Linked DNA regions of Caenorhabditis elegans. The protein of the gene in region 2 interacts with the protein of the main gene of each other region in a pairwise test. Each region holds a gene or a part of one and is shown on either strand. Other genes may lie near its edges. The genes, in order: arp-1, dnc-2, imb-2 and tct-1.

Region 1 (9,458 bases), on a different chromosome or scaffold from region 2:
AAAACCATATTTTTTCGAATTAAAAAATTCAAACTTCTGGAAAAAATTTGAAATTTTTAATTTTTTTTGTTTGATTTTTCAAAAAATTTCCGGAAAATTAATTTCAGTACCAATTTTTTCAAAATTTCGAGTATTTTTCGAATATCTCGAAGCGGATTTCGAATTTTGAAAATTAAGGAAATAATTTTTTTTATCTCCAAAATTTCCAAAAATTCAACCTTTTTTATCAAGGTTTCCCGTGTGTATAGGATACAATAGATATATAATAAATATTTTATTGTCAATCTGTTTTGCCTAATTTGTATATTTGGCCCACCAAACGGGTAATTCATACATGCTGAATTTAATAATAGAAATTTAGAAAATCAATCAAAAACTATTAAAAAGTGGCAAAAATGGCCAATTTATGGCAAAAAATCACAATTTGAAACTCCTCTAAAATGGTTATTTTTAAAGTTAGAGGACTCAAAATTGATTTGCATACACAACAAAATTTCCCTTTTTCAATTTTCAAAGGTTTCGAACGTTTTCAGAGAAAATTTTTTTTTTGCCCAAAAAAAAAGGCAAACACTCATTGACTACCTTCTCTTTGACTACCTTTGCTCATTGACTACCTTTTGCTCATTGACTACCTTTCGGCTCATTGACTACCTTCAGTTGCTCATTGACTACCTTTATCTAATTTTTCAGAATTTTCAGTTTTTTTCGCTAAAAAATCAGAATTTTCAAAAACATGTTACTTTTTGATGTCTAAGAAGGTCGTGCACTTTCTCATTTCCTGAAATTCCGGAAAAAATGGAGATGAGATCTGATGTATAAATGCTCATTGACTACCTTCAAATGCTCTTTGACTACCTCTATCTAATAAAATTTTCCAAAATTTATTTTTTTGAAAATTTTTCAAAATTTGATCAGATATTATAGAAAAGTGCAATTTTTGTCGTTTTTCTAGTTTGGATGTTCTGCACACTATTGCAGACGAAAACCTGAGGTAAAGTAGAACCCCTAAGCTCAAAAAACGCACTCACTTCGGATGCTGATATCTCCGTGGGAAAATTTTTAAGACAAAGTAATAAACTACAAAGTTGTATATCTTAATCTAAAGTACAAGGTAGTCAATGATATGAGGTAGTCAATGAGCAAAGGTAGTCAAGGCTGGGAGTGTGTTTAGAAGTGACCTTTGCAGTCCTCAATACCATTAGAGAAAAAGTAAAAGTCAATTTTCCTCACGTTATTAAAAATAAGAAAAAAAAAAAAGAAAAAAAAAACAATTTCTATCCCAATTCTTTTCAAAACTACAGTTTCGGCTCGATATACCAATGAAAGAGCACAGTGTAAACTTATTTTCAAAGTTCTCACGGCGACTCCAATCACTCTACATCAATATAAAACTGAAATTTTAAAAAGGAACCCCAAATGAAAGACAGCGTATGAATTTCACTAAAATACCAACCGATGACTAGTGATTTCGATCCCAATTCTTTTTAAAACTACAGTTTCGGCTCGATATATCAATGAAAGAGCACAGTGTAAACTAATTTTCAAAGTTCTGATGGCATCACCAACCATCAAATTACATCAATGTCAACACATCAAAATACAACGGAACATTTGAAGACTAGAAGGCCACTCGAATGAGTGTTGAGTGGGCCTCGAGAACCACCATCGGATAACACCTCGAGCGCAATCAACGGTTGGATTGTCCTGCTCTTGTCGACGAAGGACATACAAACGGAAAACCACAGTAAGTTTGCCAGAAGGATCATAAACAGTTCACAAGTCAATAGTATTCTAGGACCTTCCCCCGAATTAGCAGAAAAATAAAAAGAGTTGCCCAGGAACACATGAGTGAAATTGCCCAGAATTAGATGTGGTCAATCAATGATGATCCTATACGGCAAAATTAACAGGGAATACTCCACCTGTATTTGGAAAGCGTGGAGATGTATCCGGAAGCACGCTGTGCATGCTAGCCTTCACTTTTTAACCCCCGCTCAAGCGGATAAAACTATGAACCAAACCCAAAATCCGTGGCACTCTATTACTACTATTAAAATAGAACTGGAATATCGAAAGCGGAACCCCAAATCAAAGCAAATAAGGAACAAGAAAAGGAAATGTGACAATTCTTCCATTTTTGAATATTCAAACTTCGGGGGATCCAGGACTCAAGCCACTCTCGCCTGTGTCCTCCATCTTTCCATTTAGAGCAAGTGTTATCGGATTTTTGACTGATAAGATGCCTATTAGGTAGGCACAGCAGGCTCGGAGGAAGCCGCCCCCCCCCCTAAATGCCCACCAACAAGTCTACAAAATGACCCAGTGTAGTATGCACTTCCGATATTTTTCATTAAACCCACCGCGGCAATGCAATTTCGAAGAGATCCACCACGAGTGTTCCCGTTTTCCAATAATGACTCCTTCAAAACGACGACAATTTGCATGTGGAGCGAGTGTTCTAAGGAATTCCAGGGATCTTCTGATTGCAAAAACTGTTTCCGGAGCTGAAATACATAACAAAATTATTTCAAATTCCCCTCGGTAAATATATGTATTCTTTTAAACAAGCTGAAACTCACCCTAGTCTTTCAGGACTTTCAATAAATAGAGTTCTTCGGACCACATCGACAACAGTCGGCCATTAACCAGTACGTCTGTTTTTCATTTCTCTCGCCAAAATTTTCATATGGTGCAATTGTAGTCGGAGTCTTGACAACAGATTGACAAACTTCTATGTGTCATGTAGATGTCCTCCTAAATTAAAAATTGTTAAAATGTGGCAGAAGACACATGCGCAATACCTCAAACATGTCATCACTCAATTCCGATCCAAACTACGATTATCTGATGTTTTCGTATCCATTGTCTTTATCAGAACTTCCTTTAGTCATGCGAGCTGGTACTTGTACTGGCGTGGTGGTCACTGAAAGTAAATGAAATTTCTGTCGGAATTTGTGAGAAAAAATGAAACATGTTTAACTTTGCAAAGCTACAAAAGATTATTTCGATAAACAGTTTTCAATTATGGAAAAAGAAACGAGCAGAAAATATGAAAGCAACAAGGATTTGAAAGCAGAAAACAATAAAAAAAAACTGTGCACCACAACGGTCTGCAGACAGCACTCTATTGTGAGAGACGCCGAGAGAGGGAGGAAGAGGGCCATGTTGCGCAGAGATCACAACACTGCGGGCACTGTGCCAAGTATCATTCCGGATGGGAGACGTGTGTGTGTGTGTGTAGTATAGACGACAAGATTAAAAAACAATGCAAGAGGCGTTTGTTTTTGTAGATCACACGTAGATCACAATGTATTTGTAGATAACAATAAAACAGAAATACGATTTGAGAGATAAATAAACTGTGATCTACGCAAAATTTACACAGAAACTGCTGAAAGTGATGACTACTGTATACGGTTCGAGAAACTTTCGAGAAACTTTCCCCAACAACTTTCTCCAACTTTGGACAACTTTCGGCGAAGAAATACAAGATAGGATATTCAAATGAATGAAAAATGTTTTTTGGTTTTATCAACTTACTTTTTGGTTCAGGTTTTTTTTTCTAGCAAGCCATTTTGTTTTCAAATGCTAATTTGTCTTGTATGTAGTTAATAAACTTCTATTTTCGGTGAACAAAATCTCGAAAACTTCATTTAAAACTTGAAATTCATCAATTCCCACTGCAAACTGCGTATCGGAATTCGGAGTCTCGTTTGGCCACGCCCACTTTGTTGTTTGAACTTCAATTTTGAAATTAACAGTTTAGAGCTCTAATTAGAGCTATATATTGCAAAATATTTCCAATGTTTTGGTGATTAAAAACTGTAACACATTTTAAATAAATATTTTTATGGAAAAATTTCCAAAAAAATCCATGAAAATTCCACAGCAACGGAAGTTTGAAATTACAGTACTCTTTAAAGGCGCGCGCGTAAGAGGATTGCTTTCTTTTTGCTCAGGTCCGCATCGAATCCTGTTGTAATATTTTGCCAGAAGTATAGGTGCATGTATTCTTATTATACTATTGGAAAATCAATAGTTTCCGATACTCTCGCTATGTATTTGTTCAGCCTCTGTCCTCCAAAGTACAAAACCCCCATTTCTCCGCGCAAATGATGCATTGTCCGCAAACACGGCGGCTGCAACTCTGCGTACATTTCGCAACTCTCATTTAATTTTGTTTCCACAGAAAATGCCAATTAATCCGGGGTTTTTTAATTGTTTCAAGCTCAAATTTTGGTTAAAACTGTTATTTTATCTTTCAGGTTACAAAATGGACTACGACGTCATCGCCAATCAGCCTGTGGTCATCGACAATGGCTCCGGAGTCATTAAGGCTGGTTTCGCCGGAGAACAGCAGCCAAAGGTAGGCAATAACGAATCAAAACTTGAGATTTTTGAATTTTGAATTTTAAATCATCTTTTAATTCATTTTTTACAGGTTCGCTTCGCCAACTTCGTCGGACGACCGAAATATCACAGAGTAATGGCCGGAGGGCTCGACGGAGACATTTTCATCGGACCAAAGGCCGAATCAAACCGCGGGTTGTTCTCAATCGAATACCCAATGGAACACGGAATCGTCAATAACTGGAGCGATATGGAAAAAATTTGGGAGTACATTTTCGGACAGGATCAGCTGAAAATCTTCCCAGAAGAGCATCCAGTTCTGCTCACCGACGCCCCATTGAATCCGTTGAAGAACCGCGAGCGATCTGCTGAGATCTTCTTCGAAACGTTCAATGTTCCAGCGTTATATATTCAAATGCAAGCTGTGCTATCGCTGTACGCCACCGGAAGAACGACCGGAGTCGTTTTGGATTCAGGAGACGGAGTCACACATGCTGTTCCGATTGTTAAGGGATTTGCAATGAAGCATGCGTCAGTAAACTCTGGGAAATTGCTTTAAAACACGCCTATGTGGTCACAATGACCGAATATCATGATAAAAAAATTCAAAAAAATTTTCTAGATTTTATATGATTTTTTTTTTTTGAAAGTTGCGAAAATCCCAGTTTTCCCCTAATTCCGGTTTGAATTTCCGCCATATGAATTCGTTCGCTGGAGCGCACTTGCATTTCATTTTATTTTTTCTCATTATTTCACTGGTTTTTCTTCATTCTTTGTGTATTTTTATCGGAATAAGAGAGAAAAATTCAAGATAAATTGCAAATTATTTATTTAAAAATCACTGAAAATGCGTAAAACTGTAAAATTATGAGTTCCGGCGATAGCAAACCTGAAATTAGCTTAGTTCACAGTTTCACCCATTTTCAGTGATTTTTAAATAAATAATTTGCAATTTATCTTGAATTTTTCTCTCTTTTTCCGATAAAAATACACAAAGAATGAAGAAAATCAGTGAAGTAATGAGAAAAAATGAAATAAAAATTTAAATTAATAAAAATAATGCAAGTGCGCTCCAGCGAACGAATTCAATTGGCGGAAATTCAAATAGGAATTAGGGGGGAAAACTGATATTTTTGCAATTTTCAAAAAATCATATAAAATCAGGAAAATTTTTTTGAATTTTTTAATCATGATATTCGGTCATTGTGACCACATAGGCGTGTTTTAAAGCAATTTCTCCATTGGGCGCACTCCACCTTTAAAAAAAGCATTTAATTCTAAAATTTCCTTTTTTCAGAATTCAACGAATGGATTTGGCGGGTCGCGATGTCACCGAATACCTCCGAGTCCTTCTGCGCAGAGAAGGATACGAGTTCCACAGGAGCAATGAGTTCGAAATTGTCCGAGAGATGAAGGAGAACGCGTGCTATTTGGCGTTGGATCCGACGAAAGTGGAGAATAATTCAGTGAAAGTAGTGATTTTTTTTGCAGTGAAAATGAGCTGAAAATCGCATTCTTTCAGTCATCCTACGCTCTGCCAGACACCACGAAAATCGAAATCTCCAACTCATTGTTCCGTGCGCCGGAAGTGCTCTTCAAGCCGGATTTGATCGGAACCGAGTGGCCTGGAATGGCACATGTTGTCAATCAATCAATTATGGTAGGCTCACAGCCTGCTCGGACGAAAAATCACTTTTTCAGACATTTTTGCTTAATTTTTGGTGGAATTTCGTTGGAAAATATTAATTGGCACATAATATTGCTATTTTAAGTGCACATTTTTCATCTTTTAGACTTTTTAACTTGATTTTTCGTTTTGGAAATGTTTTAGCTCTTAAAGTAGAACAAAAATCGAAATTTCTACAAGATTACCATATAAATATCAATTTTCTGTTGAATTTTACCCAAAAAATGCGAAATTTCTTTAAAACGAGCCTAGCCAAGTGATTTTATCGATTTTTATCTTATTTTCCACCGATTTTTCACGTTTTCAGTGTATTTTTACAGGAAGTTTGAAGAAAAGTCAAGAAAAATGCGAATTATCGATTAAAACTCAACATTGAAGGTTTACGCCTTCAACGCTGATTTTTAATTGATATTTCGCATTTTTCTTAACTTTTCCTTCGAATTTCCAGTAAAAAAATACTGAAAACATGAAAAATCGGTAGAAAATTAAAAAAAAAAATCGATAAAACCACTTGGCGCGAGGTTTAAATTTTTTAAAGCTATTTTTCAATTTTTAAAAATCATATAAAATTTAGAATTTTTTTTTCTATGATATTTAGCCACTGTGATATCAGAGGAATTTTTTTAAATAAATTTTCAGTTAAATTTTAGCCAAAAAATGCGGAATTTCTAAAAAAAAAAAACACCCATCAGCTCAAACTAAATATTTCCAGAAATGTGACGTGGATCTTCGACAAACTCTGTACAGCAACATCGTGCTGAGCGGTGGAACGACGTTGTTCAAAGGATTCGGCGATCGTTTGCTGGGAGAAATGCGAAAAATCGCGCCCGCTGACGGAAAAATTCGAATTTCCGCGTCGCAGGAACGAAATTCGCTCACATGGATCGGCGGTTCGATTGTCGCCAGTTTGGACACTTTCCGAAAAATGTGGCTCGGAAAGAAGGAGTACGAAGATATGGGAGCGTCGGCGATGCACAAGAGATTCTTCTAAATATTGAATTTTTTCCCTTTTTTGCTCACTTTTCATCGTAATTTATTTGTTTTTTTTGCATATTTTCCCCCTTTTTCTCCCTAATTTGTTCCATTTGGCGCTGGCTCAAAAATTCTTCAAAATTTTCTCAAAAATAGGCGACCTTCTTCAAAAAATGTTATATAGCCCGATTCTCTGGACATAATTATTCAATTTACCCCCTCCTCCCCCAGTTCCGTGTCCCACTATCTGCTTTATGCCTGTTTCAATTATTATTTTTTATATCTAAACGATTCGATTTTTATGGAATTCTTCAATGCAATTTATTACAGGTTCCCGGCAGCTCAATGGAGCCGCTGCGTCAGGCGGAAACTGTGCAATTTTAAGACATGAGGAAAATATTTTTAAAAAAAACTTTACGGAAATTTTCCGAATTGCCGATTTGCCGGAAATTTCAATTCCGGAAAATTTGCCGGAAATTTGCCGATTTGCCGGAAGTTTCAGTTCCGCAAATTTGCCGGAAATTTTCAATTCTGGAAATTTGTCGATTTGCCGAAAATTTCAATTCTGGAAGTTTGCCGATTTGCCGGAAATTTCAATTCTGCAAATTTGCCGATTTGCCGGAAAATTTCAATTCTGCAAATTTGCCGATTTGCCGGAAATTTCAATTCTGCAAATTTGCCGATTTGCCGGAAAATTTCAATTCCGGAAATTCGCCGATTTGCCGGAAAGTTCAATTCTGGAAGTTTGCCGATTTGCCGGAAATTTCAATTCTGCCAATTTGCCGGTAATTTCAATTCTGGAATTTTGCCAATTTGCCGATTTGCCGAAAATTTCAATTCTGGAAATTTGCCGATTCGCCGGAAATTTCAATTCTGCAAATTTGCCGATTTGCCGGAAAATTTCAATTCTGCAAATTTGCCGATTTGCCGGAAATTTCAATTCTGCCAATTCGCCGGAAATTTCAATTCAGGAAATTTGCCGATTTGCCGGAAAATTTAAATTCCGGAAATTCGCCGATTTGCCGGAAAGTTCAATTCTGGAAGTTTGCCGATTTGCCGGAAATTTCAATTCTGCCAATTTGCCGGTAATTTCAATTCTCGAAATTTGCCGATTTGCCGGAAATTTCAATTCTGCCAATTTGCCGGAAATTTCAATTATGGAAATTTGCCGGAAATTTGCCGATTTGCCGATAGCTAACGGAATCTTCATTTTTTGAATTACACATATTCCTCCAATTGAGTAAATATAAAAGTCAGATTTTTCAAAAAACTACAACCTATAACTACAAAAAAGTCACACACACACACACCTCTTCTAGTTCCCTGTGATTTTGGTCTCTACGCTCTGAAATGGAGATGAGGTCATTTTTGGAGATGAAGAGATGATAGCAATAAGATGCTATTTACTTCATTTCGAAACTGGTTTTTCACCAATTTTTTTTTATTCTGCAAAAAAATATCATTTTCCGTTTTTTTGATAGAATTGAATCCCATTGGACTTCCGATAGACCGGCCGCGATGAAAATTTCTTTGATTTTTATTGCTTTCATTGCGATTTGTTCCAGCACAACTGTCTATAAAGTTAGGAAGGTGATTCGGAGGTGAGATGGATTAATAATTGAAAAAATAATCAAGTGAGTCTCAAATTAAGTTTATTCTCTGTATTACCGGGAACAATAAATCATGAGAATGCGTACGTGGAGCATTCTATTTGACGCGCGATATCTCTTACCGAAAACTACAGTAAGAACTTAAATAGCAATAGTTATTTGAGTTCTTACTGTAGTTTTCGCTAAGAGATATCGCGCGTCAAATAAAATGCTCCACGTACGCATTCTCATGATTTATTGTTCCCGTAATAATTCTACAAAATTGGTCGGTTGCACCATGTTATTCCAACATATTTTCATTTTTCAAAATTTTTGTTTCAGGCCATTTTTGAGCATTTTCACAAACATTTCAACTAAAATAAATGTTATTTTCAAATAAATCAAGTGATTTTCTATTTTTTGACACTAATTCTCAAAGAAAATGTTGGAACAACATGGTGCAATAGTCTATTTTGTACAATTGTTGTTCTCAACTAAAACTTTCAAGTAGGCACAAAACTGCCTACCTGCCTTCAAAGTATTTTATGCCTGCCAAGTGCCTACCGACAATGTTAATGTTGAAAATATGCACACGTAATTCTTCAAAAATGGTCGATTGCACCATGTTCTTCCAACATATTTTCATTTTTCAAAATTTTTCTTTCAGGTCATTTTTGAAGATTTTCTGAAAAATTTCAGTTGAAATTAATGTTATTTTCAAATAAATCTAGCGATTTTCTATTTTTTAACACTAATTTTAATTGAAAAATGTCGGAAAAACATGGTGCAATAGACCGTTTTGTAAGACTACAATTGTTGCTTTCAACTACAATTTTCAAGCAGGCACAAAACTGCCTGCC
Region 2 (7,339 bases):
TTTGGACTGACGTTCCGAAGGTTCAACTTCATGTCTACTTCGCCAAGTTTCAAATAGAAACTGAGTAAGATGTTTGTGGAACGTCTCTTGTTATCGCCAGGCACAAATATGCCTACCTCGCGACTTGAAGTTAACCTACAACTCCTTTCCCGTGAAGAAAATTGCTAATAAGCTCGATAGTAAATTACCATATCAGACAAGTAGGTGAGGTATAGACTTCAAGTACTTCTTGAAGGCACTGAACGGAATGGCAAAATTAGTCTACTTTTTTGGACAATCTAGAAAATTATCGATTCTTAACCCTATTGTAGAGTTTTGCGTACTTTCGAAACTTTTCATTCGAGACCTAATACCGTAACTTTGCTCAAAATTCAAACCTTTCTGTAGCAGCGTCTCCGGGAGAGAGGTCGACTTCGTGTTACAAAAAATAGGTATTTCGATGGAAACTGTTTACAAATTTCGTAGAACTATTCGATCTAATAGTCTGATTTTAAAATTTTATATGAAATGTTCAACATTTCACAGCATACATGTCCACAAGATATACCCAAAACCTTTGGACCTGTATGATCGAACTCTGTTGTATGATTGTGACAGGAAAGTTAATGGGGAAAAGAAGTGACATAAAATAAACTGGTTTCTATTTGGGGGCCGTGATTTATGGATATTCGTCTCTGATTCAGATGAAAGCCGCGTGTTTATGTTTTCTAGTTTCAACTTTTGATTACGCGTGTCATCAGTCCTGTGGTATTGTAATCATCGAATAAACCCACTTCCTGTCAGTTTCCAGCCCCACCGTTTATTGCAAGGAAGCTCATAACATTAGTATTGTGAGTGCACGATGCACACATCGCTAAAAATATCGGAACATTCATATAAATAATTACGGAAGCTTTTTGTTACGCTTTTCTAATAGTAAAACTTTATTTTTCTCATTTCTATAAAATGTATTTTCTATTAAAAAACCATCTCAAAAAGTTTATTTGTCTCTATGAGCAAGACGGCCTACACTGGCCCTACGCCTAAGCCTAATAATGAGCTAACGGCTTAATCAAGTAGGATAGATCATTTCAAAACCGAATTGCTCTACTTCGTAAAACGAAGCGAACCACTCCAATTAAGAAACGATCATTCCTACTGGCTAAATCCGCCAGACTGACTAATTCAAGAAAACTTTGCATTCATATATTATAGTAACTCTTATCAAGATGTACTAGATTAACGTCATCACGTGGTAGGAAATTTAATTTTAAATTAAATTCGATTACTCAATTTATCTATCTTTTTACGATTATTCATTTCTAACACTTCGAACGCGTTTTTACATGTAAATAGAACAAATGAAAAATATGTTTATTTATAGACTACTGCGCGATACACCCCCTTCCCCCCTCCCCCTTTAATGTTATACTGAAATCTAAATCTTGAATTTCGACAAATTCTTCGTTCTATTTTAGAATCGTGCCCTTTTCATGTCGACATGTCTTTTTGTATTGTGCCAAGAAGCTAGGATATAAATCCTTGGAAAGCTATAATTTTCAACACAAAACACTTTTCTCCAGGAGCATGTCGATGTCCTCGCCAAGCCCTCATTTTGTGCTATTTGAAAATTCGAATGATGAGGCTTTGCGGTTTACTCATTTTCCTCAGCTATATTGTCTACGTGGATAATGCTGTTACTGCAGTGAGTTGATTTGCACCAGAAAGTGTAATGCAGACATTTAAAAATTAATATTTAAATGTGTTTTTTTGTAAATTTTAATCGGTTAATTGTGAACAACTTTTAAAATACTTATTTTTCGCCATAGAAAATGGGGTTTCGACATTTATTTACAGAGCTAAGCTATAGGTCCTACCACGATCAAAAGTTTTCGAAAATAGGCATGCGCCTTCAAGAGGATACGGTACTTTTTCCTGTAGTTTTCGAAATTTTCGTTTCTCCTTTTGTTGGATAAAATTTTTGGTTTTTCAAAAATATTATGAATCAAAATCAAACGAAAAACAAAAAAAAACAAAAAGCAAAGCAAAATCGCGACATAAAAAAATATACCGTATACCATCATAGACGCTGGCGCTCTAGGACACTTTTCGATAAAATGACTTTTTTTTTGCTCAAATTAGCGAATTCTTTATTTAGCAGATTGTGGAAATTTATCAAGACTTGAGTTTTCATGTCGGGACCAACCGAAATATTTCAGAACTTTATCAGTGACCCACGATCAATGTTCCCGAAGATGGTGAGAACTAAAAATGCTTTTCACTTCTTGCAATATTTCATGGGAACTTTTCGACGAATGTTCCGAAATAAAACAGAAATGATTGAGCATTTCAATTATTATGATGATCAAGTAAAAGGAACTGATTGTCATATTCAAGAGGAATTGGATTTTGCCAGATTTAAATCATATTTCGATAGATATACAAGAACTCATTACAATCCTGAAATTCGTATTATCTTTGCAATAATGACTAAAGATTCTTCTCATATGACGGTTGAATTCCATGTTACATCACAATCTTGGTTTGGATTCGAAGATCATTTTCATATGATTATCAGAGCGGTTAATGTGAGTTTTCGCGAAAAATCTGACTTAGAAATATGAAAATTTCAGGACGAGAATGTCGGATGGGGAGTTCGTTATCTGAGTATGGCCTTCAATTGCTGAATAGAGATTGGTTCATTCGGAAATATGGAAAGCAAAAATAAAGCACATAAATATATCGAACAGATTAGTTAATGTTGCATTGTCCGTACACAATAAATTATGAATTGTTTCTCTAGAAAGGTCGATAAAATCACTTCAAATCTGCCACTTTTGCCTCGAGAAGCTTCAGCTTTTCAACCACTGACCCGATTTCTTGCTTTCCTTGGGACTGTAATTTCAATAATTTAATTTGTTTATATTCCTCGAAACAATTAAAAAACACACCTCATACTCGATAATCGCTTCTCTTCCTTGCGCGACTTCCTTTTCGAGTTTTTCTCTGATAGTTTTCAAATGTGATAGTCCACCGGCAAAGTGTTGAACTTGTTCGTGAAGACGGTTCAATGCTTTAACCTTATTAACATTGCTTGGAAGAGATGAGCAAGCGACATCCCATTTTTGCATAAGCTCCAGAATTTCATCAACTTTCTTGTCAAGATTCTCGTCGATATCATTGTTGGCGCGTGTCTCGTCGATTTTTTCAAGTTTGGTAAGCATCATATTCAAACGTTGTTCAAGACCGGAGACATACGAATGATTAAGCGTTTCGCATCTCAAACATTTTTCATACGTTTTTATTTTTTTAAATTTAAGATATCTCACCTGAGTTTGAGATCTTCAATGGTGTCAAGTACGGGAGCTGATGGAATAACCGAACTTCCAATAACTTGTTCGATTCTTCTCAACCTATTTTCAAGAGTTGCCACTTTCGAGTCAGTGCGAACATTTGGTAACTCAACATCATGCTCAACTCGTGCAGTTTTTCCATTTGACTGAGCCACTTGCAACGTTTTCACTTCTTTCTCTAGATTCTCAAGAACCTCAGCGTTGAGCAAATCCGTTTTAAGATTTTCATCAGCACGAATTTGTTCATTCAGATCGGCGACTTCGTACAAAATGCGATTCAGTTTTTCGGCTGCAGTCTCGGTTCCCGAAAATCCTGCACCAGTAACTTCCAATACGTATTGATTGTTTCCAAATGCGTGTCGCCGCTTTTTAGCAATCGAGTCAGAAAAATCTAAATTTAAAAAAAAGATGATAAGTAATATTATTTTAAAATTACCGCTTGAAGTCAAGTTCAGTACCCGGTTTTTGTACTTTTTGAGAGCTTCGTCAACGTCAACCGAAATCTGTAAAAATCAGAATTCACTAAATATTTATATTATTTAAATTAATTAAATACAAACCAGTTCGATATCCGGATGAGTTGGATTGTCATTTTCAGGTTCACTTTTTTGAACTTGACTTGCAGCTCCGTCAGACTCGTAGATATCTTCTTTTCCAATAGATGACATTTTGACGCAAGATTTGAGAGTTTCTAGAAAACAGAATTTGATTTAAAATATTTAGGATCAAACGGCAAAAATTTAGAAAAATGAATAAACAAAATGTATGATAGGTTAAAGTAATAAATCGTGCTAGAAACATCAAAATGGCCGTGGAATTGATTGCGAAACAAGTAAATTAGATTGTCCGAGAGGACTACACACAACAATGAGTTACTGCGCTCTACCGGCACGTATTAGAGATTAGAGGCGACAGAGTTCAGTTTTGGCAAAAACGTTCGATTGTTCGAATTTAAACAGTTTTATTGTATTTCGTTCTTTTTATTTATTTTTCTGTAAATTTATTAAATTTTTAAGTTTCAGATGTACTCAGCAAATAGATCTCATCGCGCTGAAACAAGAAATCGCTCAAAAGATGAACTCCGAAAGGTAAACAATCAACTTTTCCAAAACTAAACTGATATTAAGATTTTCAGGTTATCAACTCATTGGAAAAAGTTCGTCGGTGGGAAAAGAAGTTAGTTCTTATCAAGGACACAAATATTCGGATCTACAAATGGGTTCCGGGTAATTTTTTATTTTAACACGTATTTCGGTATTTAGAAACTATTTATATATAAATTTATATGAAATACTTTTTTAAAATAGTAATTATTAAAAAAAAAACTTCACACTTATATTTTTGATACAATTCAATGACTCTGCATTATGAATTAATAACATATTCTGCTATATAAAAGTTTTGAATTTCTCAAAAAAAAAACCAAACTTTCAATACAACTTTTTCAGTGAGCGCTCAAAACATAATGGCTCCTCCAAAGATCAAGGAAGTCAAAGAAGTGGATGAGGAGAGCAATCAAGTCCCATCTGCTGAGAATTCCCAGGATTCCACCAGCGTTACCCAACCACCACCACAATTCGATATCAACGAAGATTCCAATTTTTCCACTGGCGATCACTTTGATAGTGACTCCAATCAAACTTTCGAGCCACAAAACTATCAAGGTGGAGCCACTGGTTCAACGGATTTCAGTTCGATGCGCGACGCTGAAATGACATCAAAACAACCATAAAATCTTTATCTAATGATCTCTAATCTGTACTCATTTTGATTTCATGTTGTATCATATAATCCTGATTCATTCCGAACTTTATCTCATTAATTCAAAAATTTTCATGTTTCATCACATTTATTTTTAATAATTTTTTGTATTCACCAGTTAAAATAACAAGTTAAAACTTTAAATAAAACCCATTTCAGTGCTGTTTTTACAAGTGAATCTGCCATTGAGAGATTTAAATCTTAAAAGATGAGTATCAAAATAGTAATTGTTGCATAGATCAAAGAAAAATGTGAAGAAGAAGAATTCAGAACAAGCTTCTCATTGCGAGGGCAGAATCCGAAAAAAGATTGTAAAGGTTGGGGATATCCATCAGCAATATCAAATACAGATCGGGATGAATTCATTCGAAAAACTTGATTTCCACGTAGAAGATGAATTTCTTTTTCATAAGTGAAGGCAGAATGTACTCCTTTTGGAACTCTCGCCCAATTCAGATCAGTATCTTTTGGATACCTTTCATCAACTCTTCGATGATACATTTTCTCGTCTAATTTCCAATATCGAGATCCTTTCCAAATGTATACAGCAGGCGGACTGAAATGGAAATTATATTTGATTTTATTAAGTTGTGGTCCTGAACGAACCTTTTCAGCTACCGTACCCTCAGAGTAGTTTCTCAAAATGTATTATGTACCGTCTTTTTGGAAATATTTAAATAAATGTTTTTTTTAAACACCAAGATAATCTTTCAAAGTATCAAAGTAAATCGGTGAAAAGCTGCTAAACGATCGCGGGTACGATATCTGAAAAGTTTCGTTCGTGCCAAGACCCGAGTATTTTTGATTAGCAATGTGTTACGTTTTGGTAACATTTCAAACTTGAAACAAATATGTTAAAAAGTAACGATTTTTCAAGTTTACGAACTTTCGAATTTTCGCTGAACCTACAATTATCATTACTCAATATTTATTTTTTACTAACTGCTTTGATTACTCACTTGAAATAATGCCACTCATAAGCCAAATCCACGTATTTCTCATTAATTCCGATATCCGAAAGTCGAAGAGGTGCGTGAACCATGTGATTTCCATAGATGACATAAATCATTTCTCCAACAAAAACCCAAAGATTGTGCCCAACAGTGACGGCAGCATCAATCGGATTTGGTAGTCCGGGAAATAATTGATTAATTGGAACTGCTTTAATTATAAGACGCTTCCAATCAGACGATACACGCCAAACCCATTGACTCTGGAAATAAATTAGATCATTCGAGAAAAGGTACTGTGACTGGGTACGGTAAGTGACCGAAATTTTGTGAAACTTGCTGTTTGCAAAGAAAAATACTGTAACTGGTCTCGATTTCATTTTTCACGATTTCATTCGAAACTAGGGCCCCTAGCTAGGGTATTCCTCAAAGGTCCACACTTATAAATTGCAGCTGAAAAATTTCTGTCGTGCCGAGACCGCGTACAGTATCCTTCCGCTAGGAATAATAACGGAACTTTGCATTTGTACTCTGTAATTTTTTACCTTAAAAATCAAATATTCTCCTCGATACTGCACAACAATCGGATTTTCCACTCTACACTCATTTGGTCGAATATCATCAGATTCATGTTCCCGTGTTCTACCTCTATCTTTCTCAGTTTTCCGTCTCTTATCCTCATTTTCAGTTTTTCTTTCTTCTTCTTCATTTTCTTTTTTTGAAGCTTTTGCCCCATAATAAGATCGCATATTATATTTATCCATTGAAGTAAACTTCCACTTCCTTGGTGTATCATATGCAAACATCACACTATCAATATCCGGACTATGACTGAATCCAAGTGCATGTCCCATTTCATGAGCAACTACTGAGTAAAGAGAGTTTGCTAAAATTGTATTAATCGTTACGAGACCTTGAATTTTAACATACCGCCCATTCGTTCTGTGTAATTAGTCATTGCAAATTGAACTCTGTCATTGATGTGAATTTGACCATTTGTCGGGAAGAAAGCGTGAGCCAATGTTTTTGTGTCAAAGCGTACAGTACAAGGGTAATGATTTTCTCGCTGCAAACAATTGCAATAGCATAGAAATGTCTGTCTACCTGCCTACCTAAAACGCCTAATTAAAAATCCTAATAGTTGAATTTTTCAAAAATTATATAAGATGAAAATTGATCTACATCACAGTACAATCGCTAAGGTAATGCATAGAAGTGAAGTAGGCGAAAACAACATTTTAAATAGTTTTGGTTATTCTCACCCCAGCGGAAATGACCATCATCGGGTTCTTGACC
Region 3 (8,556 bases), on a different chromosome or scaffold from region 2:
TTAACGACACGAAAAGCTTTAATTTTCAAATTTTCAGCTACGTCACAACAATGAAAGCCACTCTCTACAAATGCGAGATGGAACCAGAAAAAATGCTCACTCTTTACAAGAATCTGGAGATCGAGGTGACTCCGCATGTCGAGATTCTACTGGAGGCCAAATTCAAAACTGTTCTGCGTGTTGACTCAAATAGACGTCTTCAGAAGTTCTCCGACTTTTCAGCAAGGCCAGTCACTTGTGGATCCGTATCGAGAAAAGAGAAAGTACCGGAAACTATTCCAGAAACACTTGAAGAAACCGTCCCAGAAACCGTCCCAGAACCCGAACGTCTTCAAAATCGAATGCCGCTAGATGTGGAAATTTCTGATTCCTTCGAGAAGGCAATGTGGAATCATGTCTCCCAGAACGCCGCCCGTCTAACCGGAAAATTTTTGATGACTGAACAATTTTGGGCCGAGCTGCTCCAATCACAACCGAATATTCCCATCAAGTCGGCTCACATTGTGCTCCACCATTTCAACGAAATGATGCTCGAGAACCTTTGGAAGCAGGCGATGGATCCGGATGCGAAACTGCAGATATTAAAAGACTTGTCGGTGCCATTGAGCTATCATCAGCGTAAATGGATTCTCGACAATGATCGGCTTGATGTGGCTTTGTCACTCGACGGATATGTAGTCAGCTGGGATATTGTGCGAGACCAGCCAGCTCCACGTAGCAAAATTCTTACCTGGACCCCAAGAACTCCGATGAGGAACAGGTATTGGAAAATATCATTTTTTAAGTTTAATTATAATTATTTCAGATCTCCCAGTCTTATGGTATTTCACGACGATATTCGTCCACCATCTCCGATTCAAGTCGTTTCGGATCCAACATCTTCATATTTCCGTTCAAGAGCTTCCACGGATCAACCAGGACCTTCAAGCCATCGATCACAGTCAGCTAATGTACGTGAAACGTATGCGCCGAAAAAGATTCAGAAGCGAGAAAAATTCACACTCGACGATCATATGTGTGCATGGAAGTTCGTCCATGAGAAGATTGTCGAGGCAAAGAAGGAAGGTGTCCAGTTGATGCCAAAGGGAATCGCGTTCTGGAGAGATTTTGTCAAAGTCTCACGATCGTCGAAATCTGCAACCAATTGGAGTTCGCACTTTCGAAAGATCATGTGCCCAGCACTCCACGAAATGCCACTTCACAAGAGAACAATTCTCTATCTTCTCAAGCATATTGATATTGAAATTGATGAGGAGGCTGAGAAGCTGTAAGTTAAGATATCGTTCATAATCCATCGTATAAATAATCCTTTTCAGCATCGAGCGAAAGTTTAACGTGAAGCTCCGTGTTGGCACAGACCGTAGCTTGATTTCTTATAGGCTCTTGGATGCGGTTGTGAAGGGAGAAGTGGTTGAGAAGGACAAAAAATCGGAAGAAGCTCGTGAGATAGAGGCCATTGATGTTGATGATGGCGATGCGGATGTAAAACAAGAAGTGGTTGAGAAAGACGGAAAAGCGGAAGAAGCTCCTGAGCACGAGGCCATGGATGTTGAGGATGACGATGAAGATCTGGATGAAACGATTCCACTAGAATCAGATGAGCAGATGATGGATGAAAATCTCGATACATCGGTTGCTTCTAAGAAAGAAGCAATGGACGTCGACGAATTGTCTAACAAAATGACGGATGCTGTGAACAATCTCCAGAAATCTATCACCGAGAGTACAAACGAGACTACCGTTCTCGAAGGTGCAGCTGCTGCTGTGATCTTGCTCTCTGAGTCGCTTCAAAATTTCTCCAGGGTGGGAATGGAGGTAATTTTACACTTGAATTATAATCTTAAAGACTGAATTCAATTGTTTTTTTTTTCAGAAATCGTCCTCCGACGTCTCATCATCATCTGAGCCAGTGTCATCAGCCGAGCCAGCTGCCGCTGCGCTCGTGCCGTCTGAAGCCGGTCAAGGATCTCGAGACGTTTTTACATCACAATCCGACTCAACGATTCCAGAGTCTTCTAGCTTTGATGAGCTGCTTCCAAATTCGTGCAGGGTGAAAATGGAGGTAATTTTAACCTGAATTCACTTGGATGATGATTTTAAAATACTGATTTAAAGTTTTTTTTTTCAGAAGTCATATTCCGACATCCCACGATCAGCTGAGCCAGTGTTCAAGGTTCCTATGATACCAAATCGCCTATCCCACAGCGCCTCCAATGGTTTAAAGCCGGCCGAGATTTCTCCAATTTTGGTGGATTATGATGCTCTGAACTCGCAAGTCGTTCAGCAAGTCTTGGACGATGCCGACGATAAAGATTTGGAATTGATACACGAAGCGTTGGAGAAAGCTTTTGGAAATCAGGAAAATTGGACTGACGTAAGAAAAAAAGAAATAATAGAAATTTTATCGGGTTTTTTTTTTCCAGAAGTCCACAGCGAAGACCGTTACAATCGGCACAATTATCAAGGCGATTGAGACCAAATTCACAGGAATCTCTCGTGAAGTTCTTCTGGAACAGAAGGAATCCATTGTGGAAGAGGTTCTCGGCAACGTCGAGAACGAGAAGGTTCTCGAAGTGCGCACAGAAGCCATCCGGGAAGCGCTCATTGAGGCTGATTTTGGGCCAACCAATTAAATAGATTTTGAAGTTCTGTTTTTTTCTTTTTCCCATTCAATTTCTCTCACAGTTAATGGGCTTCTCTCATTCCTTACCCCTCGCCCTAGTCATAAATAACTGTTTAACATTTTTTTCTATTCTTCTTTTCAATTTTTCTCAACATTTATGGATTTTCCATTCCTTTCCTCTAGTACAATTGTGTTCAATTTGTTGTTCTCTAAATGGATCTCCCGTTCATTACAAAAACTGGTTAAATAACACTTCTCCAAATGAACGTGTTTTATTCATTTTTTATTTGTCAAATAAACATTTTAAGCTTTAAGTTAACTTTTTTAATTTTTTTATTAAATAACTTCGAACACGGGAATTTTTTATATCAAAAGGTGCCTACTACAGTAATCAAAAGTTAAAGGAACATGGCTTACAGGTTACGGGTCTCGCAGCGAAATTCTAGCTTTGAAACATTTGTCATATTTTTTTCCCATGATCATGATAAATACGTTCCCCATATTTGTTACAAAATATAAAACAATTATTTTCAAATTTCCCTTGTGAATGCTGGCGCGTATTCGGTTTGGCGTCTTTTCCGTCCACCCGCAGTGCTCTTTTCTGCCGGCAAAACACAATTTCTCCCCTTCTCAGCAATTCAGAGAACGCGTCCTCATCGATTTTTGCTTCTGGCTGCAGGATTTATCTCCATTTTATTTAAAATATCAATATGGTTGATATTTTGAACACAAATTTCAATTCTGCAGAAATTACTGCATTCTTGACATCAATCCGTAAAATCTTAATTAATTGCTCGTTAAGAAGTTTAAATTTACGATTTTAATGTGTTTCTTTTTTCAGAACAATTTGGAGCTTTATGCCGACGAATCAAAATGGCTTTCCAACCAGACCAACACGAATTAGAGCAGGTGAGCGTCGTTAAAAAATCGATTATTTCGCAAAATCCGAGTTTTCAGGTAATTCAACTCTTACAACACGCTCACTCCACAGACAGAGATGTTCAACGTAATGTTCAAGTGCAATTGGTACAGCTCAATGAGCATCAGAAGTTCTGTTGTTATCTGGTTTACATACTGAGCGACATGAAGGAGATGATTGACGCGACGAGTCGATCGCTGGCCGGCTTGTTGCTTAAAAATAATATTCGAGCAAAATGGAATAAGTATCCGCAGGACGTGAAGTTTTTCGTCAGGACAACATGTTTGAAAAGTATAGGCGATCAAGAGCCACTGATTCGTGCGACAGTAGGTATCATTGTCACGACTATCGTTATGGAGGAGAATATGTGCGATTGGCCGGACCTTCTAGACACTCTGGCCACAGTTCTGATGCAACCCGACGAGCTGATGCAAGAAGGCGCTCTTGGAGCACTTCAGAAGGTTTTCGAAGACTCGGCGGATCGGTATGAGTCGGAATTTCTTCGGCCAATCATGCCGAAGCTTCTTGTTTTCTATGAGCATCATGCTGCGAAGATGCGGGCTCTTGCAATGAATTGTGTGAATTGCATTCTAATGGTTAATAATGATCCAATTGATTTTGCAATAGATCAATTTCTTACTTCGCTTTTCGCTCGCCACAATGACAATGATGAGGAGGTGCAAAAACAGTTATGTAGATCGCTGACGCTTCTGCTGGACACACACATCGAGAAAATGATGCCTCATTTGCCGAATGTCATAGAATATATTATTAAGAAGACTCAAGATCACAACGAGTCGATTGCCTTAGAGGCCTGCGAGTTTTGGCTTTCAATTGCTGAGAATAGTGATATTTGCCGAACAATGGTGCTTCCACATCTCGATAAGCTCATACCAGTTCTGCTTGGCTCCATGCGATATTCTGAGACAGATCCTGCGTTGAAAGCTAATGATGAAGATAGTTCGGTTCCTGATAGAGAGGAGGATATCAAGCCTAGGTTTCATAAGTCGAAGCAGCATGGTCTTGGTGGCCTTGTGGAGTCGGATGATGAGGAAGACGAGGACGATGATGACGATGGTGGTGGCGACTGGAATATCAGAAGGTGTTCAGCAGCATCTTTAGATGTTCTGGCTTCTATTTTTGGAAAGGATCTGTTGGATAAGCTCTTCCCCCTCCTCAAGGACACATTGATGAATGACAACTGGCTGGTCAAAGAGTCTGGAATACTTGCGCTCGGGGCAATCGCGGAGGGATGCATGGACGGCGTTGTGCCACACCTTGGCGAGCTCATACCATTCATGCTGGCTATGATGTTTGACAAGAAGCCACTCGTTCGATCGATCACGTGCTGGACGCTGTCCAGATATAGTTCGCATATTGCATCCGACGAGAACTTCAGGCAACAGTTTTTCAAGGATGTGCTCGCCAATGTGAGAATTTAGAATATATAAAAAACCTCGTAGTGCTTCAAAAAAAGTTTAAAAAAAAACTAGACTTAATTTGCAAAATTGTTTTAAAAGATTTAAAATGGGGTACTCTTTCAGTTAAATTCTAGTTGAACGCAAGTAATGTACTAAATTGAGAAAAACAAATTAATTTTCAGCTTCTCCGCTGTTCGCTCGACGGAAACAAGAAAGTTCAAGAAGCTGCATGCTCTGCGTTCGCAACTCTCGAAGAAGAAGCTGGCGAGCAGCTCATTCCATTCCTTGGCGAGATCCTCGATCAACTGGTCAAGGCGTTCCAGTGCTATCAGGCAAAGAATCTTCTGATTTTGTACGATGCCATCGGAACACTAGCGAATTCTGTGGGCGACGCGTTAAGTCATCCGGTTTATGTGCAAATGCTCATGCCGCCGTTGATGGAGAAGTGGGAGCGGTTGAGTGACGAGGACAAGGAGTTGTTCCCACTTTTGGAATGTATTTCTGCAATTGTTTCAGGTTGGTAAAAGAAATAACTAATTATAAGATAGTTTCGACTTCATACTTTTTACAGCAATGGGACAATCCTTCCTTCCATACATTCAACCGGTATTCACAAGGTGCTGTAGTCTCATCGAAAAGTGTGTTCAACAAAACCAACAACACATTATGGCTCCGGATCAAGTAGAAGCTCCCGAAACGGACTTTATCATTGTGGCGCTTGATCTCCTCTCGGGACTCGCTGAGTCGTTACCGGAACATATGGATCCCTTGGTGGCAAACAGCAAGCTGGTCGAGTTGATGTTGTTCTGCTCGTTAGATGTGACGCCAGACGTCAGACAATCGTGCTTCGCGTTACTCGGAGATTTGACGAAAGCGTGTCCAGAACGAGTGCTCCCACAGAGTAGTAAGTAGCTCCCGCGTCTACAGATTTGATAAACATTTTCAGAAATCTTACAATTTGCAGGCAATTTCATATTTTTTCTCGCCCAAAACCTGGATCCCTCCAAGATCAGTGTGTGCAACAATGCGATTTGGGCGCTCGGAGAGTTGGCGCTGAAAATGGGTCCCGCAATGAAACAGTTCATCGGGCCCATCATTGAACCTCTGATTGTTGTCATCAATAGCCAGCAGAATATGCAGCGGACGTTGTTGGAGAATACTGGTGAATATCTAAAAATAGTAAAAGCTTGGAAACTAGGTATTTAAATTTACAGCCATCACAATCGGCCGTCTCGGACAATGTTGCGGTGAAGAGCTGGCTCCCCATATCAGCCGATTCGTTCGCCCTTGCTGCTACTCACTTCGAAATATTAAGGATAACGCGGAAAAAGAGAGCGCGTTCATCGGTTTATGCAATATGATCAACATGAATCCCGTCGGAGTTCTCAATGATTTCATCTTTTGGTGTGACGCTATCGCTTCGTGGACAGTACCGACCGACTCACTTCGGGTTCTTTTTGCCGGGGTATTTGAAGATTTTCGATTTTTTTCTGACAAAATCGAAAAAATGTCGATATTTCATCGATTTTTGAATATATTGATGAGAAAAAACATCAAAAAATATATAAGACTTCAAAACAGCAAAAGCCCTCATTTTCAAACTAGAGAAAATTTTTCGATAAAAATGCAATTATCGAAAAACAAAAATTTCCGATTTTTTAAATAGAACAATCGATACGAAAATTGACAAAAAAAAATTTTTTTGGAAATTAGAAAAAGAAAACATTTTTTTCATTTTTCGGTTTTTTCAAAAATTCTGAAAAAAAAATCGATCGTCGACATAAACTAACTAGGGAATGGTGTTACCCCTGCAATTGCTAGGAGGACAAAACAAAGTGAAAATGGAAGATCAGATCTATGGCTACAAGAATCAGTTTTTGGAATCTGCTTAACTCGGTCCCAAAGCTGAAATTTTTGGCCTTAAAAATTAGTGCTTTTTTTGCTGAAAATCCCATTTTAAGTGTGTAGAATTGGCTACACAAACGTTTTGCACTGCAGCCACCGTTCGAATAGCCGATTGGTGAACACTTGCGTTCATTAATCCAGACGTCACAGGTTCGTCCCCCACTAGGTGTAATTTTTTTTGAATTTTTTCTCGAGCATAAATTATCCACAAAAACGCGGTTAATTTCGTTTTTAAATAGGTTCAGCATAAATTTTTTGGTTCCTGGAAAGCATGAAAGTCATGTGGAAACTTTTTGGAAAATTTAATTTTTTTGAAAATTTCAACTTTTTCTCCATCTGTGGTATGAAGATTTTTTCCAAAAAAAAAAAAAATTTTTTTGTTGAAAAGGGTTATGTAGTGTAGAACAGTTTTAATTTTGGTAAGTTTTTCAGCTATTACCTTCAGATAAGATAACAACCAAGTTATCAGAAACATATTGAACAATCGTTAGTTGTCGCCGCATCATGGGCGCAATCAGGTACTACAATTCAACTTTTTCAGACCTAATTAATTTTTCGAGGTTCGAAATGTTGAACCGCGAAAAAACAGAGTTTGCGGGATTTTTTGAATTTTACTTTATATTTATTTCCAAAATTGTGAGTTATTCCATTATTTTATTCCGTATTCGTAATGTCTTTGAACATTTCCAACGTCCTCTTTTTGCTGCACCAAAAATTCCCGGATCCTCTACCCGACAACCCAATTTGTACAAGAGAAGAAACGAAGCTTGCCGGTCATTTGGTTAATATCCTCAAACTGGCTGTGGATCACGATATTGATGTTGAAGAGCGCGACGAAGTTGCTGACGAGACTTTCAGTGATTGGGATTCAATAGAATTTGAGGTACGTAATTATAAGTCAGTGAAACATTAAAAAAATTTTATAGTTCTAAAATGTCCAAGTATCATATTTTGACTGTGAATAAAAAATATTTAAAATTGATTTTATTTACAGCCAAAAAGTGCTATATACCTAATGTTCACCTATCCTAATTTTGAAAGTAGACAAGGTTCAAATTTGAACCAAATGCTCGAAATCACTCAAAAACTCACACTTTTGGAACATTTGGTTATTTACCGAACGTTTGGCAATTTGCCAAAACTTTGACTAAAAATTTTTAAATAGATTCCATTAGTGTTTCATGATGATATTTGAGCATGTTGGATAAACGAATCTAGTCTAAATTTCCAAAAGCTGAAACCTTTTTTCGACATTTTGCAGCCTAACGATGGAGTCATCTTTTCGTCTCCTACTGAATTGGTGTTTGGAGGCAGAGTGGTCACGCGCGAGGAAGCTAATACAGCTCTCGATTACTACCGTAGTGCGAAAGCTGGGAAACGAACTCTGGAAGCTATGAGAAATCGATTTCGTTGGATCACTGGAAGACACGATATGGACAAATTGAAGTTATATGAAAAAGATAGAGATAACTTCAAGGAAAGCCGAAGAAATCTGCTGAAGTTCCTCGGAGAGCGACTCTATGAGGAAGTCAAAGGGAGACTGGATTCAGGTAAATTTAAATTGAAAGCAGCTATTTCATTTCAACTTTTTAGGAATCTGTCTACATGACCGTGACTTGAAAATGATTGCGCTCGATATCAATAAAAAAGAAACCCATGTGGAAAACTTCAAAGCGTGCCAAACTTGG
Region 4 (6,895 bases), on a different chromosome or scaffold from region 2:
ATTGGAGAAAATTTCGAAAATTTTAATTTATTTTTCCGTGACATAATCGCAATTTCTCACAAACCCATACCATTTATATTCAGTTCTATTCAATTCATGAACAACTTGTTCCAACTGTGAATGTGTTCTTGATGCATAAAATATCGTCGGAACGTATGCACTCTTCAATTTCTCATCAGTTTTTTCTGCTCCACCGGCTCCTGACGTCTGCCACGTGGCAAAATCCAGCGGCTTCGTCTCTTTTTGACGTTGAACCCATGCGAGCGTCGAACAGAGAAGAGACAGCGTTTTTCCGGTACCCGTGGGACTTTCAAGTGCTGCGTCTAGTTTTCTATCCAGTACATCGACAACGTTCTTCATGAAGATCCTCTGACATTCGTATGGTTCAAATGGGAATTTTACACTTAACTTCGGGTTAATCCAAACTTCCGTTGAATTTGAAGCTTTCGGCGGCATACTGAAATGTGTTAGCCGAGATTTTACCTGGCAACAACAAAAAACAAACAGAAAATCGTGGATTATAAAACCAAAAATGTTAATCACACACCACACAGGATAAACTCAAATTTGCAAAAGTATGTTTATTTATAAGCAATGATGGCAAGATTTCTAGGTGAAATAGAAGGTTCAAAGAGTGGAACAACTCTAGAATTTATTCCATTTTCCCTTAACAATTCCACTCGATCGTCGATAATTGCTGACTCAATCGCTGGAGCAAACATGCATCGGAGAACTTCAAACGAATCGAACTGAGAGCTTCGGAGAGAAGAGACATGAGCGGATAGTTCAGATTGTGGAATTATCTGGAAATTAGATAGAAGTTTAGTAATTTATGTTAAAAAAATATTTAATATTAACCTGCAAAACTTTATCCAGTAAATGATTTCCCCGGTTTGCCATAGCTTTTCGAATATATTCTTCAAACGTTGTCTGATTCTCAATACATTTTACCTGAAATGAGAAAAATTGAATTTAATAGCTAAATTTCTAAACTATCGGGCCTACCGAACACATCCCGATATTCCGATCTTCTGGCAACTCGGAAACTTTCCAAATCCATTTTTCCAGATATGATCGAGCATATCGTGAAAGATCAATCTTCTAAAAATAGAAATTTGTGATAAGAAATAATTATTAATTTATACCTGTTTCAGAAATCGTTCCTCAAGATTCTCGTTGTTGTGGCAAGCTGCTTCTCGAAGTAAATAGTCTATTTCGACGTTTTCCCATTTCTTGCTCAATGGAAAAACTGTTGACTTTCCAAAAGACGTCTGCAAATTAACTGAAATTATTTTTTAAATAATTTTTTAAAACCTACATTTTCAGAAATCTCTCGTTCATTTTCATTATTTTCTGGTCGTAAAAAATGAAAGCATTGAAATTCTTTGTGGTAACAACATCCAAAAAGCACTAGGGCTTTCGATTTTTCACTTTTTTGAAAAACTTTGAGAATTGTCGACGAAAAATCTCCACAACAATGGAGACCGACCAAAATTGCAGAGTTTACAGCAAAATCATCGATTTTCAAAGCAAGATCTTCGGTTACAAAATTGGTGTATCGAATTGGTGTTGATTTGACGTTGAAATTTTCAATGCGAGATCCGATTTTTGCAGAATCCAGAAGTAATTTCTCATCGAGCGAGTTTGCAGCCAATGTGAACTGAAACGAGTTTTTTTTTGGATTTATGTTCAAATATTTGTGATTTTGACGCACCTGTTGGTTTCCTTCCACAGCCATAACCGATATATTATTATGAATTGAGATCATACGTGATAAATGTCCAATTCCAGCACCAATATCCACCAGACTGTCTATGGGATCTGCAAAATTCGACAACTGATTCGAAAAGTTTATTATTTTGAATACCTGCCGAATCTTTCTGGAATATTTGAATTTGTGAGATTAATTCCACAATTCTATCAATTTCGTGTTGTTTCTTCGCTTTAATCCTCTTCCTTACCAATCCATTCGCCGACGATATTGTACGGAAAGATGCCTGAAATTGTTAATTTTATATTTTAAAATTTCAAGATTATAACTACATTTAACCCATCTCTTGTGGTTCCTGTCCATTGACGCCAAAGATCTGAAGGATTTTCCACACATTTCCTATTGTATTCGAAAAGTTTAAGATTTGCTTTCAAGTCTCTCAGAGAATGTGGAATAGAGGCGCAATCAGCTGACACAAGATTATCCGATGAATTTACGAAGACTATGACGTCTTCAAGCTGAATATAATTTTAGATTAGATACATTTTTGTTCTAACCGATTCTAGATTCAGGTACTCTCTCCATTCATCTTCAAGCAAATCCCAAGACGACGAAGCAAAGTATTCGATGCTACGACTATTCAAGATCCTCCGATACTTCGAGACAACTTCATCGAATTTGGAACTTTCCATGAAACTCAAGTTACAAAATTACATTTTTTGTTCCAAACCATTCTAACCAAGGTACTAGAGACAATAATTTATGTTTTTGTTGCAATCGATATGTGATAGGGGAGTATATATAGTTCATTGAAAACATTAAATGATTTAACAGTGAAGTTTAGCACTTCTCCTCGATGATGGCTTCCTTGACAAGCATAAGGGTTGGAACTTCGGTTCCATCAACATCTCTGTACTCGATGATGGCGACTTGACCGTTCTCAGCTCCCTCAGCGGCTCTCTCTCCAATGAAGAAGGCGAGGTTCTTGAAGCGATCCTTGGCGAGAAGGCTGACAACCCATCCTTGAATCTTCTTCTTGAAGGCATCGACATCAGCCTTATCACGGTTGTTCTTCTCCATGTGGTCGATGACGTTCTTCATGAATTTCTTGATGTATGCCTTGAACATACTGGCATCCTCGTAGCAGTTCATCTCAACGAGCTTGTGGTTAAGGACAATATCGATACCACGCTCGACGTGCTCGTCAGATCCATCATCCTCGGCTCCTTCCTCAGCAGATGGGTTGGATCCAGCCAAAACGATCTCTCCTTCCTTGCGGACAACGTGCTTTCCCTTGAATTCGTAAACAAGATCATCAACCAACTTCATTGGGAAGGAGTCGGACGAGAGCTCATCATCTGAAATTGTTCGACAATCATTATCAATCTATAAACAAACAGCATCACATCTACGGCAAAGTTCACAGAACAAAATTTGATCGTCATCCATTTACCACACGTAACTCGCCAATTTGACACCCATGACTATACAAATTAGGGCAACAATGAATTCACAGCAAAACGCAGCGAACTCATGAAGCGATCTAAAATGCACAATCACAGTCAAACTAGCTTAAGGAGTGTGGAAAACTTCTTCAGAAAAAGAAATCTTACCGGTGAAAATATCCTTGTAGATCAGCATTTTTGAAGGATGGGGCCAGTAACTGAAATTACGAGATTAAAAATTCAAACAAGAAACAAAAAAATAGAGATATAGTTAAGTGTTCGATAACACCACAAAGAAAAGTAATTAAAAACGCTTTTTTTGGAGATAACATTTCATTAACAACAAATTCAGAACAACTTGTGGATTTAGTCGAAGAGACCGAATCCCATGTCGTCGTCGGATTCCTCCTTTGGCTCTTCCTTCTTGGCGGCTGGAGCAGCAGCAGCTGGGGCAGCGGCGGCAGCTGGAGCAGCAGCAGCGAACTTGCTTGGGTCGGCAATGAAGGCCTTGATGGTCTCGGCCTCCTTGAAGGAGACATCGGTGACGGCAGCAACTCCCAACATGTTTTGAAGTCCGTTGGCCAAAGAGTGGGCGACGGAAGCGAGAGTTGGGTAGTTGACGGCCAACGAGACGGAAGCGACATTGCGAACTCCAGAAAGGAAACGCTTGCGGAGCTCCTCGGTGGTCATGTCCAAAACTTCTGGAGTGTAGAGGGTTCCATCATCGTAAACTTGGCGAACGACCAATCCATATGAGAACGGAGTAACTCCCAACATGTTGAGAAGAGCAGATTCGGAAGCTCCGACCTTATCTCCTTCCTTGATGAGATGGACCTAAAATGAAAACATTACAATATACTATTAAAAATGAAAACTAACGTCGTTCAAGATTTCGATGGTACCTCTGGCGATCTTGGTTGGGATCTGAAGAGCCTGGAAGAAAGAGGTCTTTTCTGGTCCCATTCCAGTGTTCTGTGGTGGAAGCTTGACGTCGCATGGAGCGATGGCACCAGCCTTGGCTGGGGCTCCTTTACGGTTTTCCAAAAGCTTGGAGCGGATTTCTCCGAGATCTTCCTTGGTGAAAACGAATCCGACGTTCTCGACGATGTGTGGCAACAACTTCTCAAGGGATGGATTCTTTCCGAGGTGTCCACGAAGAGCCTTACGGATCATGGTGTTCTTTCCCATAAGGATCTCAGCATGTCCTGAAAATTACGATTTAAAGGAATTGAGAATATTAAAAATAGTAACCTCTCATGGCTTGACGAATCTCTTGCATTTGCTTGGATCCAACGTTGTCAACGCCGACGAGAAGGCATTTTGGGTATTCCTCGAAAAGCTCGACAAGCTTGGTGAAGTAGTTAGCCTTCCAAGTAGATCTGTCTTCCCTAACCATCTTGGTGAATTAAGGATCGCGTGCGGTTACGTTTTAAAGACTGAAAAAATAAATTATATTAAAACTGAGGTCTGAAAATGTACAATTTTGAAAATCGGTGGTTTTAGTGCAACAGAATTGAACGGATTCACATTTTTGAATATAAATTAATCAAATTTTGAAAAAATCGATCACATTTTCAACAAGGAAAAGGAAAAACAGTGAAAAAATTTTAGGAACACTGAATGTTTCGCCTCTCAACAACAGAAAATGTGTTTCGTCACGAGACCCTCAAGGCGGCAGCAGCCATGCGCCTTTAACTTTTCTCGTAAATCGACACCAGAATTATCATTAATTTTGTTGAAAGTGGAGGGAAAACCTCCAAATCATGATATTTCTAAATAAAAAACAGAGAAATTATTGATTAATTTCAACACCAATTAAAATATTCGAGTCCGGTGATGTCAAAATCAGAAAATCGGTGTATATACTTCTACATTTAATCAGTTTTCTTTTTAGAATGATTTCGCTCGTCGCCGAGCTCGGTTCTAATATAAATTTTTTTGAATACTGTAACTCCTGGTTGGGAATATTAGATATGATCATTTATAAGGGTGCGGACGTATTGAATGTGTGGCGCTTTCAAAAATGTATAAAAGAACGACAAATAATTTATTGAAATAGCTGAACATCGCAAATAAAGTTACTTTACACCATAAGAAACAAGAGACAAAAAACCAGGAAAGAATAATTTCTTCAAAGCGATGTGATAACTTGATCGAGCTCTTCGTTCGACACTCTTGTGAATTCTCCGATTGGACGCCCCTTCGCGTCAACTGTTGGTTTGATAACAACGACTTCGACATTGGCGGAGTTCAGTTTCTCTTCCATCACCTGCTTGAGAATGGCCAATGCCATCTTGAGTCCTTCCTTGATAGTCAGAGCCTGAAATAAAATACATTTTCCTGTATAACCATATTTGACGAAATTACATCATGATATTGCTCCTTGAGATTCTGCTCAGCTCCATCGCTAGCTGCACCGATCGATTTAGCCTTACAATCGATGAAAGTTCCAGATGGATCGAGATGGAACAGTTTGGCTCCTTCTTGGTCTACACCAGCGAACAGCATTGCTACACCAAATGGACGAGACATTGATGCTTTGACGTCGTCGTCTCCAAACTGAAGAGCTAGATTGGCGACCGACTGAGTGACGTCTTCCACGCGAATTTTGCGGTTATAAGTGAACCAGAAATTTTGAGCCTCGATCTGTGCCCGTTCGACCAGAGTGCGCGAGTCGGCAATCAAACCTGCGAATGTGACGCCTGAAACAATTCTTATAAATTAAGATGATAAACAGTTCACAGAACTAACCAATATGTTGGTCGACCTTGCTGATTTTCTCGATCGCGTCATTGACCATCAGCTTCGATGTCGATCTTTTCTCAGCAGCGAGAAGAACACCTTCGCTCGTCTTGATTCCAATGCTTGTAGATCCGAGTTTGACGGCCTCAATAGCGTATTCCACTTGGAACAAACGCCCTTCTGGAGAAAAAGTGTTGACTCCACGATCGTACTCGCTGCGAGTGAGGAACATGACTGGCTGAAATGTAAATAAATTATATTCGAAGCAACATTGGACATATTGAAGCACAAAAAAATGGAAGAGGTGGGATAGTCGTCGCGAGTAAGAATGAAAAAGTTAAGAAGAAGAGAGCGAAAGGGCGCCAATGAGATTGCGAAGTCATCATCGCGTCGAGACCCAGTAAGCGATTAAAAGAAAGCGCCTTTAAAAACCTTTTACTACTGTAATTTCTGAAATCAATTTTTAAAATAAACGTTTTAGAAAAACACAAAAACAAGCTGAAAATAGGAAGTAACAGGTTGCAGTGAGATGCTGACAATTCGCGGCGTGCGCGTCGCGGTGTCTGCGTCTCTCGTGTTGGCGCGAAAGGCAGAATTTCGAAATGAAATTTTTAAAGAAAGTTTTATGATGAATATTAAATAGTTGGAATCAAAAGTAATTTGGGAATATGAAACTATTCAACACGTGAGATTTCCAATAACGTATCAAAGAGGGAAAATGAATATGAGACTCGCTTACTAATAGATTTTTCGTCTAGCTATATTTAACGCTAAAAGCTTTTAAAAAGCTCTATAGGAAAATAATCAAAGTGTCGGGAAATGTAAGTTCTTTGAATTGAATGGTTCTCATGTTTTTTTGTTGTATTTACAAAAATAACCAGTTAATTAATAATTATTTGTCAACATTTTTATATCCGCACCCGATAAAATCGAGAGAAATGAACGTTCATGAACAAATCTTTGCAAAAAAATGCAACAGAATGTGGAAACAGTGAAA

Evidence for each region.
Region 1: the proteins of dnc-2 (region 2) and arp-1 interact in a two-hybrid assay, tested with the Caenorhabditis elegans proteins (one large-scale study listed by BioGRID).
Region 3: the proteins of dnc-2 (region 2) and imb-2 interact in a two-hybrid assay, tested with the Caenorhabditis elegans proteins (one large-scale study listed by BioGRID).
Region 4: the proteins of dnc-2 (region 2) and tct-1 interact in a two-hybrid assay, tested with the Caenorhabditis elegans proteins (one large-scale study listed by BioGRID).

What each region holds. Positions count from the first base shown.
Region 1 is NC_003280.10:15,116,036-15,125,493, forward strand, and holds arp-1 (Actin), read left to right. Parts: upstream 1-4,265; 5' UTR 4,266-4,273; coding exon 4,274-4,366; intron 4,367-4,441; coding exon 4,442-4,881; intron 4,882-5,647; coding exon 5,648-5,822; intron 5,823-5,872; coding exon 5,873-6,010; intron 6,011-6,749; coding exon 6,750-7,028; 3' UTR 7,029-7,310; downstream 7,311-9,458. Other genes in the region: Y53F4B.23 (Neuropeptide-Like Protein), read left to right, coding at 8,528-8,610.
Region 2 is NC_003281.10:5,921,732-5,929,070, forward strand, and holds dnc-2 (putative dynactin subunit 2), read right to left. Parts: upstream 4,024-7,339; 5' UTR 4,001-4,023; coding exon 3,893-4,000; intron 3,836-3,892; coding exon 3,769-3,835; intron 3,724-3,768; coding exon 3,309-3,723; intron 3,259-3,308; coding exon 2,931-3,258; intron 2,875-2,930; coding exon 2,797-2,874; 3' UTR 2,667-2,796; downstream 1-2,666. Other genes in the region: C28H8.2 (uncharacterized protein), read left to right, coding at 1,619-1,684, 2,199-2,567, 2,613-2,666; bcl-7 (BCL7-like protein), read left to right, coding at 4,355-4,420, 4,468-4,558, 4,781-5,064; zmp-1 (Matrix metalloproteinase-A), read right to left, coding at 5,295-5,649, 6,053-6,306, 6,589-6,929, 6,974-7,109, 7,306-7,339.
Region 3 is NC_003280.10:14,362,243-14,370,798, forward strand, and holds the start of imb-2 (Importin N-terminal domain-containing protein), read left to right. Parts: upstream 1-3,458; 5' UTR 3,459-3,496; coding exon 3,497-3,532; intron 3,533-3,580; coding exon 3,581-4,972; intron 4,973-5,145; coding exon 5,146-5,479; intron 5,480-5,534; coding exon 5,535-5,867; intron 5,868-5,909; coding exon 5,910-6,125; intron 6,126-6,177; coding exon 6,178-6,428; intron 6,429-8,556. Other genes in the region: tebp-1 (SPK domain-containing protein), read left to right, coding at 38-760, 806-1,267, 1,317-1,815, 1,874-2,062, 2,129-2,374, 2,424-2,633.
Region 4 is NC_003279.8:10,565,591-10,572,485, reverse strand, and holds tct-1 (Translationally-controlled tumor protein homolog), read right to left. Parts: upstream 3,375-6,895; 5' UTR 3,353-3,374; coding exon 3,325-3,352; exon of another isoform or gene 3,074-3,324; intron 3,070-3,073; coding exon 2,552-3,069; 3' UTR 2,451-2,551; downstream 1-2,450. Other genes in the region: rtel-1 (Regulator of telomere elongation helicase 1 homolog), read right to left, coding at 71-456; F25H2.12 (Methyltransferase domain-containing protein), read right to left, coding at 582-803, 859-951, 1,006-1,101, 1,146-1,271, 1,319-1,660, 1,715-1,821, 1,868-1,997, 2,044-2,229 and 1 more; rplp-0 (Large ribosomal subunit protein uL10), read right to left, coding at 3,523-3,990, 4,036-4,361, 4,408-4,552; pas-5 (Proteasome subunit alpha type-5), read right to left, coding at 5,288-5,476, 5,524-5,858, 5,908-6,130. UniProt on the Caenorhabditis elegans protein: Involved in calcium binding and microtubule stabilization.